Linked DNA regions of Danio rerio. The protein of the gene in region 2 interacts with the protein of the main gene of each other region in a pairwise test. Links are inferred from orthologs where the notes say so. Each region holds a gene or a part of one and is shown on either strand. Other genes may lie near its edges.

Region 1 (6,475 bases), on a different chromosome or scaffold from region 2:
GAGCTCAAATCAGCAAAATCTAGAGGCCTTCACCTTTCATAGAGACACTTCTGACACCAAATCATCAACTAGAAGTATGTATGTGAGTGTGTGTTGATTTAAATCCTCAGGGAATCTTTAATGGATGCTTTACAAATACACTGGAACTGAATAGTGTGTGTGTTTTGTGCTCAGCGTGCGGATCATCGGCAGCTCGACTCTCTCTCTCTGTCAGGTCGCCAGCGGGGCGGCGGAGGCGTATTATCAGTATGGTCTGCACTGCTGGGACATCGCAGCAGCCGCTGTCATCATCCGAGAGGCTGGAGGCTGTGTGATGGACACTACAGGTCAGAATACACACACACTTCCCAGATTAAACATTTAGGGACCCTACGCATAACTCTTAAAGAGGGCTTCCATCAGCGCATTAACTCTTTCCCTGCCAGCTGCCACTGATCAGTTCGTTCGCCAATCTGTATTCGGTAGGGGGATGAACACATGAATAAAATGCATTTTTGTTTGAAAGCAGAGGGATGGTTCTTTATCTTGATATATGATATGGTCAGATATTCCTTGCCGAAAATATTCTGAAGGCTTTCAAATTTAAATCATTAAAAACTATTGGCAGGGAAAGAGTTAAAGGGACAGTTCACCCAAAAATGAAAACTGACTTCCTATTTACTCTCCCTCAAGTGATCCCAAAGCTTTAAGGGTTTCTTTCTTCTGTTGAATACAATAGAAGATCTTCTGAAGAATGCTGGAAAACCTGTAACTATTGGGTTTCATTGTAGGAAAAGCACTATGGAAGTCAATGGTTACAGGTTTCCAACATTCTTCAAAATATCTGTGTTTAACAGCATCAGTAAAGCTTTGAAACAAGTGAGGTGTGAGTAATTAATGACAGAAGTTTCATTTTTCGGGTGCGTTTAAAGTCACTGTGAAATCAAACTAAAGATTTTAGGTGTAAGCTTCAATATGTTTATAAGTCTTAAGGATATCTACAATCTAGTGCGCTCCAAAACGGTGACAAAACATACATATATTTAGATGTTATAAACAATCAACTCTAGGTTTGTGTCTCTTTCAGCAAAATTAAGTGGCGTCACCTCATACTTTAGTCTCTCATCACCTCTTCTGACCAATCAAATGCTCTCTAGTGTTTAATAAGCCCCGCCCCCTTCAAGATTCTATTGCGGTCGCTGAAATAAGTCACTTTAAAGGGCACCTGATATGCATAAATCACTTTATAAGCAGTTTAAACCCAGTTGTGTGTCAGCAGTGTGTGAATATCTCCAGCCTCTAATGGTCAACATGTATTAATTGTGTTTGTTCTAATCAGACTTGATGAAAACAGTCTGCAGAAACACTTTGATTGACATTCTCCTGTTGTACGTGTCATCAGAGGGGTTAACTAAGCCCCGCCCACTAATGGCCCTCTCATTAGCATAGTACATTAGTCCTGTTTATGTATCTGCCACTATGCAGATTCACAGGTGTCTGTAACTCCGCCCTCTTCTGAAAAGAGCACCATCTCGTTTGCATTTAAAGCGACAGTCTCTGAAATATCTGCACACGTTATGGTGTTTATATGATGCAGAACAGTCAGAATCTTACACCCAGCACCTTTAAAGGAACACTTTTTTTGTACGAAGTATTTCAAAGTGGCTATAAATAGTAATCCTCTACATATAGTCGTTTCTCCTTTTATAAACCCACAGATTTAATCAGATGAAATCAGTCTGTGCTCTCTGTTGAACATGATTTCTGATTCATTATGTCAGATTGAAACACAAAGAGCTTTACAGCGGCGCAGTGCACTCATTACTGTTTAACTCTGAATATCACACATGAAGGTGTTGATAATAGTTCACATATCATCAGATATTATTATATAAATAGAGGACGTGTCTACTGTAGACAGTGTTAATACAGCTCAGTGTTTCCTGCTGGTTCTAATATACGGTATATTCTGCTGTGGGGAAAGAAAGGAAACACTTGAGATAAATCAGATTCTCTGGCTTATAGATTATAGTTTAAGTAAAATTAAAGTTTTGTTTTGTTCTGTAAACTACTGATGACGTTTCTAATACAAGGAAGATATATTCCTGTGGTTTAGAGCCTTTTATTTTCAAAAAAACTCAAACAAAATATACATGAAAAAATGTTTTTAAAATATGATCTAATAAACAAAATGATGAAAATAGAATAATAAAAATAAAACCAAATGAAGAAGAATGAAGTGGCTCAGTGTGTGTGTGTGTGTGTGTTTCAGGTGGTCCGCTAGACCTGATGTCCAGGCGTGTTGTGGCTGCAGGGACGCGTGAGATCGCTGAATATGTGGTCAAACAGCTGCAGCCCATAAACTACGGCAGAGATGACCTCTGACTGACCTCTGAGTGACCTCCGACCCCAACCTGAGCCTTTTACCTCAGAACACACACACACACACAATCCTGCCACGCCACTACTGCAATGTCCACACACACACACACAGACACTTACTTGCACATACACTTTCTCTCTCTCTCCCTCTCTCTCACACACACACACACACACACACATGTATACAAACACACTCTCTTATACACACACACTTTCTCACTCGCATATAAACACACACAGTAGTCACACACATGTAAACTCTCGCATACTAACACCTACACCCACACTCTCTCTCATACACACACACACACACTTTTTTACAGACACACACACACTCTCACATACATACATACATGCACTTTCTCTTTCACACATGCACACTCTCTCTCTTGCTCTCTCATAACCACACAGAAGCACGCATACACTCACACGTGCACACACATATACACACTCTCTCTCACGCACATACACAATTTCTCTTTTACACAGACACACACAAAAACAAACAAACAGAAACTGACTATACACACACGCACATACACACACTTTCTTTTTCACACACACACACACACACACACCCTCTGTCTCTCCCTCTCTCATACTAACTCTCACACACACACACACACACACACACACACTTCACTGTATGTTCCGCTGCTCCTTGAATCTGCTCATGGTCTCGGTTATTCACAGCCAGACAGAATCTGCAGATGTGATTTAATAATTATAAAGACTGACGAGGAGAGACTCAATAACAGCAAACAATCACCTCTGAACTAATGTCACGTTCACAATGCACATACAGTTACAGCCACTCGTTTAGTAGAGAGAGCTACAGCAGCGCTCCTATATGATATACACTCACCGGCCACTTTATTAGGTACAGCTGTCTAACTGCTCATTAACAGCAACAATTCTAATCAGCCAATCACATGGCAGCAGCTCACTGCATTTAGGCATGTAGACATGGTCAAGAGGATCTGCTGCAGGTCAAAGTGAGCATCAGAATGAGGAAGAAAGGGGATTTAAGAGACTCTGAACGTGGCATGGTTGTTGCTGCCAGACGGGCTGCTCTGAGTATTTCAGAAACTGCTGATCTACTGGGATTTTCACACACAACCATCTCTAGGGTTTACAGAGAATGCTTAGACAAAGAGGAAATATCCAGTGAGCGGCAGATCTGTGGGCGCAAATGCCTTGTTGATGAGGCCAGAGGTCAGAGGAGAATGGCCAGACTGGTTCCAGCTAATAGAAAGGCAACAGTAACTCAAATAAGCACTCGATACAACCGAGCTCTGCAGAAGAGCATCTCTGAACACACAACACGGCCAACCTTGAGGCGGATGGGCTACAGCAGCAGAAGAGCACACCGGGTGCCGCTCCTGTCAGCTAAGAACAGGAAACTGAGGCTACAATTCACACAGACTCACCAAAACTGGACAATAGAAGATTGGAGAAACGTTGCTGCTCTGATGAGTCTCCATTTCTGCTGACACATTCAGATGCTCGACTCAGACAACATGAAAGCATGGATCATCCTGCCTTGTATCAGCGGTTCAGGCTGGTTGTGGTGGTGTAATGGTGTGGGGGAGATTTTCTTTGGCTCCATTAGTACCAATTGAGCATCAACGCCACAGCCTACCTGAGTATTGCTGCTGACCATGTCCATCCCTTTATGAGCACAGTGTCTCCATCTTCTGATGGCTACTTCCAGCAGGATAACGCAGCATGTCATAAAGCTCAATCATCTCAGACTGCTGAACATGACGATGAGTTCACTGTACTCAAATGGCCTCCACAGTCACCAGAGCTCAATCCAATAAAGCAGCTCTGAGATGTGGTTGGGATTGGCATCATGGATGTGCAGCCGACAAATCTGCAGCAACTGTGTGATGCTATCATGACAACATGGAGCAAAATCTCTGCCATGAAGGATTAAGGGAGTTCTGAAGGCAAAAGGGGTCCAACCCGGTACTAGTGAGGTGTACCTAATAAAGTGGCCGGTGAGTGAAAGACAGAATATTACTTAACAAATAGTTTTGTAAACAAATCTTTAAATGTTAGCTTATTATTATATAATATATAGTACAATAATTTAATTTAAAACAGACTGAATAAATATATGCATTTACACACTTTACATCAGTAAAGAAAGGAGAGTTTGAGTCACTCTATTATATTCCAGTATTATATTCCTCAGGAATGACTTTCTCTGTGAGGAAAGTTGTTTTTACACTGAGATAACCCAGTATTACCTGTGTGTTCTGTAATCAAACACTGATAGAAATGTCATATTTACCCCTCAGACTTACTGTGATGAATGAGGGTCTCACGGTGGCGCAGTGGGTAGCACAATCACCTCACAGCAAGAAGGTCACTGGTTTGAGGCTTGGCTGGGTCAGTTGGTGTTTCTGTGTGGAGTTTGCATGTTCTCCCCGTGTTGGTGTGGGTTTCCTCCAGGTGCTCCGGTTTCCCCCACAGTCATGCAAACTCCACACAGAAACACAGACTGACCCAGCCGGGACTCGAACTATCGACCTTCTTGCTGTGAGGCCAGTGTTTGCCATGTGTCGCCCCCTATTAAATATAATAAAACACATATTGAATTTAAATCTATTGGAAATGAATATATGCAGATGTAGGATGCTGAATTACACACAGAGCAGTGCAGTGATGTATACATCTGGTTAATATGTACAGTACATGTTGATCCTGATCATTTCTCACAGAAGTTGTTTAACCGAAAGCACCTAATAACTCATAAATCCATGATCTTGGCGTTATCACACACACACACACACACACACACACACACACACACACACACACACACACACACACACACACACTGACTGCAGTTTTAACCTGTATTTGACACTGTTATGTTTTTCTAATGCTGACTGACTGACGCACTGTAAGGAACACATGGAGAGGAGAGTTTTCACTGCCAGTTTTTATAGTTTCTCCTGCTGTGTTGAACTTCTCTCTTTAATCCCTGTGTTTGTATCAGGGCGGAAATCCTCTGGTGTGAAATATTAAAGCGGCATAAACACTCAAAGCAGCGCTGGACTGGCCTCATTCAGCTTATTTAATATTCTGTACTGTCAAGGGCAAAATTATTTGCCCTCCTGTGAAACTTATTTCATTTTAATTATTTCCCAAATGATGTTGAACAGATTCAGGAGTTGATGACAGTGTTTCCTCTAATGTTTGTTCTTCTGGAGAAAGTCTTGTTTGTTTAATTTGGGCTAGAATAAAAGCAGTTCTTAATAGTTTTAAAGCCATTTTAAGGTCAATATTATTCACCCCTTCAGCAATATTAGTGTTGGATTGTCTCCAGAACAAACCACTGTTATACAATGACTTGCCTAATTACCCTAACTTTACCCTAATTACCCTAGTGAAGCCTTTACATGTCACTTTAAGCTGAATACTAGTGTCTTGAAGAATATCTAGTCTAATATTACGTGCTGTCACCTCTGTTAAACAGAAATTGGGAGATAATTCAAATTAAAATTAATTCAAATTTGACTAGAGGGCTAATAATTCTGATGTGTGTGTGTGTGTGTGTGTGTGTGTGTGTGTGTGTGTGTGTGTGTGTGTGTGTGTGTGTGTGTGTAATGCATGTTTCTTAGGCTCAAGGTGCTATGAAATTAAAAAGAATAAGGTAAGAAGGAATATAAATAATAGATTACAGCACATAACAGCACTATCCTTCGCTTTATTCTTCATCAGGGCTCATACAAATACATATAGTCAGCAACCTTCTTCAGTGTGTCAAAACCTTTCATCAGAGTTCATTTAGTCATTTTCTTTTCGGCTTGGCCCCTTTATTAATCAGGGGTTACCATAGTGGAATGAACCTCCAACTATCCAACATATGTTTTATGCGGCGGATGCCCTTCCAGCTGCAACCCATCTCTGGGAAACTTTCATCAGAGTTGTCCTTAAATTAAATGTACCTGTTCTTGTCGTATCCTTAGGATAGATTTTACTACTTTTATTATAATCAATCCATTTCATATGTAAACTACTGTATATGTAAACAATCCCCGCAGAAAAACAAGAGTAGGCTTATAACATTTAACTCCGAAATACTTTGGATAAAAGCGTC
Region 2 (6,475 bases):
CTGAAGATAAATACCAAAAACTACAGCAACTGGAATAACTACAGCAGTCACGATCATCGATCTCATAAGAAGCAAGAGATATGATGACGTGTACAGGTGCTGTAGCGTTGTCCCAATTCTTAGGGCTAACTTTTCGCCTTCCCCTTCACACTCGGTTTTAAAGGCCAAGGGGAAGGGGTACAAAAATAGAACTGTGATAGGACCTAAATGTCCCTCGAAAACCCTGATAAATGAACTAAAGTGTCCTCCACCCACTAGTTATATTTTAACTTTATGTATAATGTCTATGTGAATTATAGTGGCCAATCACACAGAATGCATTTTTTGCGCTGAGGGTTGAATCTTTAGAATAGTTTATTAACGGTCATGAGCGTTTTGCACACTGCTAATGCGCCCTGTGCGCCTTGCATTTTTGCCGTTAGGTGCTGTGCACTTGCAGTTGAAAAAGTCAACTCCGAGGGAAAAAAAGTGTGCTACATCACTCGCGTCTTTTTCATTCTACAATTAAATAAAAGCAGAGGCAGGGTTTCTGTTGAGGTGACAGCAGTGTTTGTGTTGTCAAGATGACTACGGAAACTTTTGGAGAAAGAGGAAAGACTAGCTGTTGCTGTTTTGAGTTATCCGGAGCTGTATGACTTAACAAATATTATATATACAAATAAAATGTATTATTTAATATTAAAATGATACCAATATCACAGCAACACTCTCGCACAATACACAGCTGATTCAGTTGTTGCCTAGCAAAAAGCGCTTCTTTTTTCTCGTCAACAAAGAAGAAAATATGGTGCGCCTCGTGTTTTAGCACGGAAAAACATGTTCATTGTGATCAGCCCCTAAGACCTGTATCAAAATCGTTCATTATGAATATGTGCACAATTACAGCCCTAAAGTCAATAAAAGAGATGCTTTTAAAAATCCCTGATGAAGATCCATTGAACAGGGCATCTCACTCACCCTGGGTGAGTCTGTAAGTGACCCCAGTGATGTTGAACTCAGCCGCTCTCTCCAAAGATTTCTGATACACCCACTGGATGTGCTTTGGGTCATCTCCATCTAGAACCACACCATCTGAAGAACAAAAAAGCCATATCTGAAATACAGTAGATTACCTGCTAGCAATACAACCAAAAATTCCAATCAATCAGCTCATATTGTACCTCCAAAGGGCTTTTCTTTGGGCCACAGCAGCATGCGTACATATTCAACACAATGTTCGGGTAACCGTGGCATAGACGCTATAGTGCACATCGGGAAGTTGATCTGTGTAGGGCGCAGAAATGAGCATGACAAAAAAGCTTTGAAACTTCAACTTAACACAAAAAATCCCAAAATGCACCTGTGGGGGGTAGAGCTCCAGAGTGCAATCAATGCAGGCTGTCATTCCTGGAAGAATGACCCGGGCATTGCCCTTGAAGCCCTCTGTGCCACCATCTATTAGTGGAATAATAGAGCTGGGGTCCAGGACTCCATCTTCATAAATCAGCAGGGAGAGCTGACAAAGGTAAATGCATAGACTATATGTACTTCTCAATGAATAGAAACACTCTACTTAATTAATGAATGAATGGATTTTAGATCTAAACATATCTATTAATAGATTCTTGGATGTTTATGAGACATACAAGCATGCCGTTCATCCATCTTCTGGCGATAACAGAGTCCAGGCCACAGACGACTATGTGGAATTCTATGCAAAAACAGTTAAATTACAAAGATTTAAGAATATAATACTGCCTAAAAAGCATCATACTATTAATAACAATAACAGAACAATAGTATCATATATTTATGATTTTAGGACATTATTTCTGTACACAAAAATAATGAAAACAAAATGTGTAACAGTTAGATTACGCCTGTAAAATGTCTCATCCAAGTCCTGGATTTTCTTAAAATGTCTGCATTATGTATTAAGGGAAATGACAATATTTTGACAGTACAAATCTGTGTAAAACAGTATAAATACAACAGTATAAATCAGTATAAAAACTACAAGTTCAGAAGTTTGGGCTCAGTAAGATTTTTTAAATTTCACTTCTGTTGCATTTATTTGATGAACAATAGCGTAAATCAGTATTATTGCCAAGTATTATTCCAATTTATACTAAATATTTTAGAATTAAAAAAAAGCATACTTTCACACTATTGAAAAAGCAGATTAATTAGCATCATTACTACACGCTTCAGTTTTACATTTGTGTTACATCTTTTATATTGTATATATGCTGCTTGTTACTTAAGATGCTTGTTAATATCAGTTGAAAAGAGTGAATTATATTTTATTAGTGTTGATCAAACATTAACTAATTTAAAATAACGGTACTGTTTTGACATAATATTTGTGTGTATTGTAAATATTTATTTATTATGTATATGTAATACGCACATGCATGCATGCATGGATATATTTGATAAAATATTTATATTTAGATATAAATTTTATATGTTAACTACCGGTCAATATATATATATATATATATATATATATATATATATATATATATATATATATATATATATATATATATATATATATATATATATATATATATATATATTTTTTTTTTTTTTTTTTTTTTTTTCATGTTTTTAATTTTTTTAAGAAAATGATTATGTTCATCAAGGCGGCATTTATTTAATGTAAATAAAAAAAGTTAAATTGTTAAACATTTATTAACATTTTAAATAACTGCTTTCTTATTGTATGTAGTTTCAAATGAAATTATTATTTCATTCATTATTTTTTTATTACAATTACCATTAATAATAATAATAATAACAACAACAACATTAATTAATTAATCTTAGAGTGATTTCTGAAGGATTATGTGACTGAAGACTAGAGTAATGAAGCTGAAATCTTATCTTTAAAATCACTGGAATAAATGATTAAATGATAAACTACTTTTGAACAGTAGTGCAATAACATTTTACAATTTGTATTGTATTTCTGATTAAATAAATGAATCATTGGTGAGCAAGATAGGCTTATTTTAAAACATTTAAAAAATGTACTGACCCCAAACTTTCGACCGGTAGTGTATATAGCACAAATTATATATAAATTTAAATATGTAATAAAAAAAAAATGTTTGTATTGTTTTGATTTTATGTATGTGTATATCATATATACACAGGGCTTGACTTTAACTTTTTTTGATCACCAGCCATTGTGGCTAGTAGTTTTCCACCGTTACTAGCCACTCGCCATTTTCACTAGCCACAATTTCAATTTTGCTGATGGGAAAATATATTTTATATGCATAAATTTGACTTTGGCATGGGTTGCGGCATGCTAAAATTACTTCTTGTTCATTTAACTGTTTTTTTGTTTATGAGCTTACTCAATGAGCATTAGCAAATGGGTTATTTAGTTATTATGGATTATGGGTTATTACTTTCATAAAAAGTTGCGCATTGCAATTAGTTTTCTTTCACAGGACTTTTCAGGGCTCAACACAATAATGGTTTGCCTTTTTTTTCGACTGGCCACTCCAAACTAATTATTTCCTTGCCACAAATTTTAAATAATGTGTCAAAACAAGCAAAATACTGCTGGATCCATACACTTTTTGTTTAACAAAACAGCTGACATTTAAAATATATATATTTATTTACATTCATTCATTCATTCATTCATTTTCTTGTCAGCTTAATCCCTTTATTAATCCAGGGTCACCACAGCTGAATGAACCGCCAACTTATCCAGCAAGTTTTTTTTACGCAGCAGATGCCCTTCCAGCCGCAACCCATCTCTGGGAAACATCCACACACACACTCATACATTACGGACAATTTAGCCTACCCAATTCACCTGTACCGCATGTCTTTGGACTGTGGGGGAAACCGGAGCACACGGAAGAAACCCACGCGAAATATATATATATATATATATATATATATATATATATATATATATATATATATATATATATATATATATATATATATATATATATATATATATATATTTATATATATACACTCACGCATTTAAAACTATGCACAGTGGTCTGTTCTGGCTCAAAATCCCAGATCACCAGTTAACTGTGCATACAACAACATATTTAAGCAATATTATTGTAAAGGATGATTATTAAACTATATTAACAAAAATAACAGCAAGCAAAAGAAACATCAAATCAAATCATCTGTGCGCGCGACACGAGCCCTCGTCAGTGAGTGAGGAAAGCCTGTCTCACTGTGTACGTGATCCTCTAATTCGTTATTTATCTGCTTTCCTTTGCTCGCGCGAAAAACTGTTTTTGTCAGTCGTGCTGCTTCTGGATTCTAAGATCACATTTGTACGCATATAGACAAACGGTCATAAACTAACAGTCTAACCTAGTGACGACGAGCCAGCACTGGCAATTTAAAAAGGAGTTTCAGCCAGCCAAAGTGGCTGGTGAGAGTGGCTGTCTAACTCACCACAACCGAAATCTACCCGCATTTGGCGGGTTGGCAGGTGTTAATGTAAAGCCCTGTATATACATAATAAATATATATAATACACTGACATATATTACGCCTAAACAATATTTTTAATGTGTTTTATTTTTAATGTGATTAATCTTTGCCCAGCACTGTATTTTTTATGTTTTATTATTATTATTTTAGGATGAATAGAAATCCCAGAAAAAAGCATACCTTTAATAAAAGAAACTGTTTGTAAAATTATACACATATTTAATAGATTTATTGATTATTAAATGCATCCTTTATTGCAAAAAATATTGGAAGTTTCTTGCAAATAAAATATAATCATCTTACTGCCCTCTAACTTTTTGAACACAGAAAAAAAGTACAGTGGCATTTCAAACTTCCCACAAACAAAATCAAAATTAAATTTTGAAACAAAAGACAAAACTAAGTTAATACACTTTAAAGGATACGGGACAACACTGCATCCTGGGACCCTGTCGTTTACGAAGTCTGCTGCAACCTCTGCCTTTGGTCGGCCCACATCTTTTGGCCTAGAGAAACAAGAGCAGGCTGTTTAGATGATTAAAATCAGAACGACAAAGGGTTCAAAAAGACAGCTGTCCGCAGACTAACCTGAAGAGGAACTGTCTGTTGAGGTTAGAAACGTCAATGGTGTCCATGTCCACTACATGAATATGTCGAAAACCTGACAAAGCCTGATTGATGACATTGTAGCGATATAAAAAAAAAAAAACACATTTAGCCTCTTTGAGGATCGATTGTGTCAAATATATTGCATTGTTATTCCAGCACAAGATCAAACAGGAAACAACATTACCAGATCTTTGAGCAGCTCACATCCAAGTCCACCGGCTCCAATAACCAGAATCTTGCATGTGTCCAATAAAAACTGGAGAGACTGGAAGATGATGTGCGCAATTTATAAAGAAAAAGGAGAGAAAGAGAGCAGAGCAATATTAAGATTACCACAAATGGACTGATATTGTGATAATGACATTGTTCTCAAACTATGAAATATCTTTTAGATTTTTTGTCTTATTTTAATGTTAGTTGTGCTTTATATGAAATCATTCATCTGAAGAATGTAATTTATGCATTTTATTCTCCACCATAATATCATAATAGTAATTTAACCACTGTGAAAACATATCTTGCGAATGCAAAACATACACTGCATTGATAAGGCAGTTATTATGAACCTATAATAGGGCTGTGCGATTTGGGGAAAATATCTAATTGCGTTTTTTTGAACAGATATTGTGATTTCGATTTGATTTGCGATTTAATTTTGTAGTCAAGCTTCAGCTCAACAATCTGTATTGTAGCTTCTATCTGCTAAAATGCAGCGAGTGGAACTGAAAAGATATCACCTTACATTAGCAAACAACTCTAAAATTGAAATTTTCTAGTAACTAGATTGAGTGTCACTGGCAATATAATTAGTTAACTTTTTAGCAAAACACTCCTCATATAGGCGCCTGTTGGGCTTTTTTAGGTGCTGAATGTTGTATTTCTTCATGCTGTGGCAACAGTTCTGTGACAGCTCTTTTACAAATGACCTGATGTAGTTAGGTGTATGTGACTTTAAAACCAAAATATTCCCATATTACCGACCTGCTGTTTTTTTAAAGTTTTTTTTTTATATTAGTCTATTGATGCTTCTGAAGCAGCAGATGTCATCATCCCACTTGTTCGCGCTTCCCTGTTTGTTTGTTTTTTTTTATTGCGAGCGTTCTGAGTTTTTCGGAAAAATAAAAATACAAATTTTCTCGTTAACTCACAGTTCATTAAGGAATGTTAACAAGCTTAACTTTGAATTTTACATTTTATCTGTAAATAATAAGTTAATATAAATAAATGCTGTAAAAATTCTAAAATGCTGTAGCAACATTTGTGTATTTCAGAGAAATAACTGAAGGTTTTTACTTTTTTTTTTTTGCATTATGGAGCTTTTTATGATTATAATTCAACCACTGAAGACAAATGAAATATTTTAACAATGCTTTTGATTCATTTTTTGGACATTTTG

The links.
Region 1: the proteins of uba3 (region 2) and impa2 interact in binary tests that used the Homo sapiens proteins (3 or more experiments, as listed by UniProt). The two-hybrid records come from large-scale screens. The link is inferred for Danio rerio from reciprocal best matches to the Homo sapiens genes UBA3 and IMPA2.

Annotation. Positions count from the first base shown.
Region 1 is NC_133199.1:885,164-891,638, forward strand, and holds the end of impa2 (inositol monophosphatase 2), read left to right. Parts: intron 1-174; coding exon 175-326; intron 327-2,251; coding exon 2,252-2,364; 3' UTR 2,365-5,419; downstream 5,420-6,475. UniProt on the Homo sapiens protein: Phosphatase that can use myo-inositol monophosphates, myo-inositol 1,4-diphosphate, scyllo-inositol-1,4-diphosphate, glucose-1-phosphate, beta-glycerophosphate and 2'-AMP as substrates in vitro.
Region 2 is NC_133186.1:19,926,375-19,932,849, forward strand, and holds part of uba3 (NEDD8-activating enzyme E1 catalytic subunit), read right to left. Parts: intron 5,345-6,475; coding exon 5,264-5,344; intron 5,142-5,263; coding exon 5,059-5,141; intron 4,977-5,058; coding exon 4,896-4,976; intron 1,902-4,895; coding exon 1,858-1,901; intron 1,691-1,857; coding exon 1,626-1,690; intron 1,496-1,625; coding exon 1,340-1,495; intron 1,264-1,339; coding exon 1,161-1,263; intron 1,072-1,160; coding exon 958-1,071; intron 1-957. UniProt on the Homo sapiens protein: Catalytic subunit of the dimeric UBA3-NAE1 E1 enzyme. E1 activates NEDD8 by first adenylating its C-terminal glycine residue with ATP, thereafter linking this residue to the side chain of the catalytic cysteine, yielding a NEDD8-UBA3 thioester and free AMP.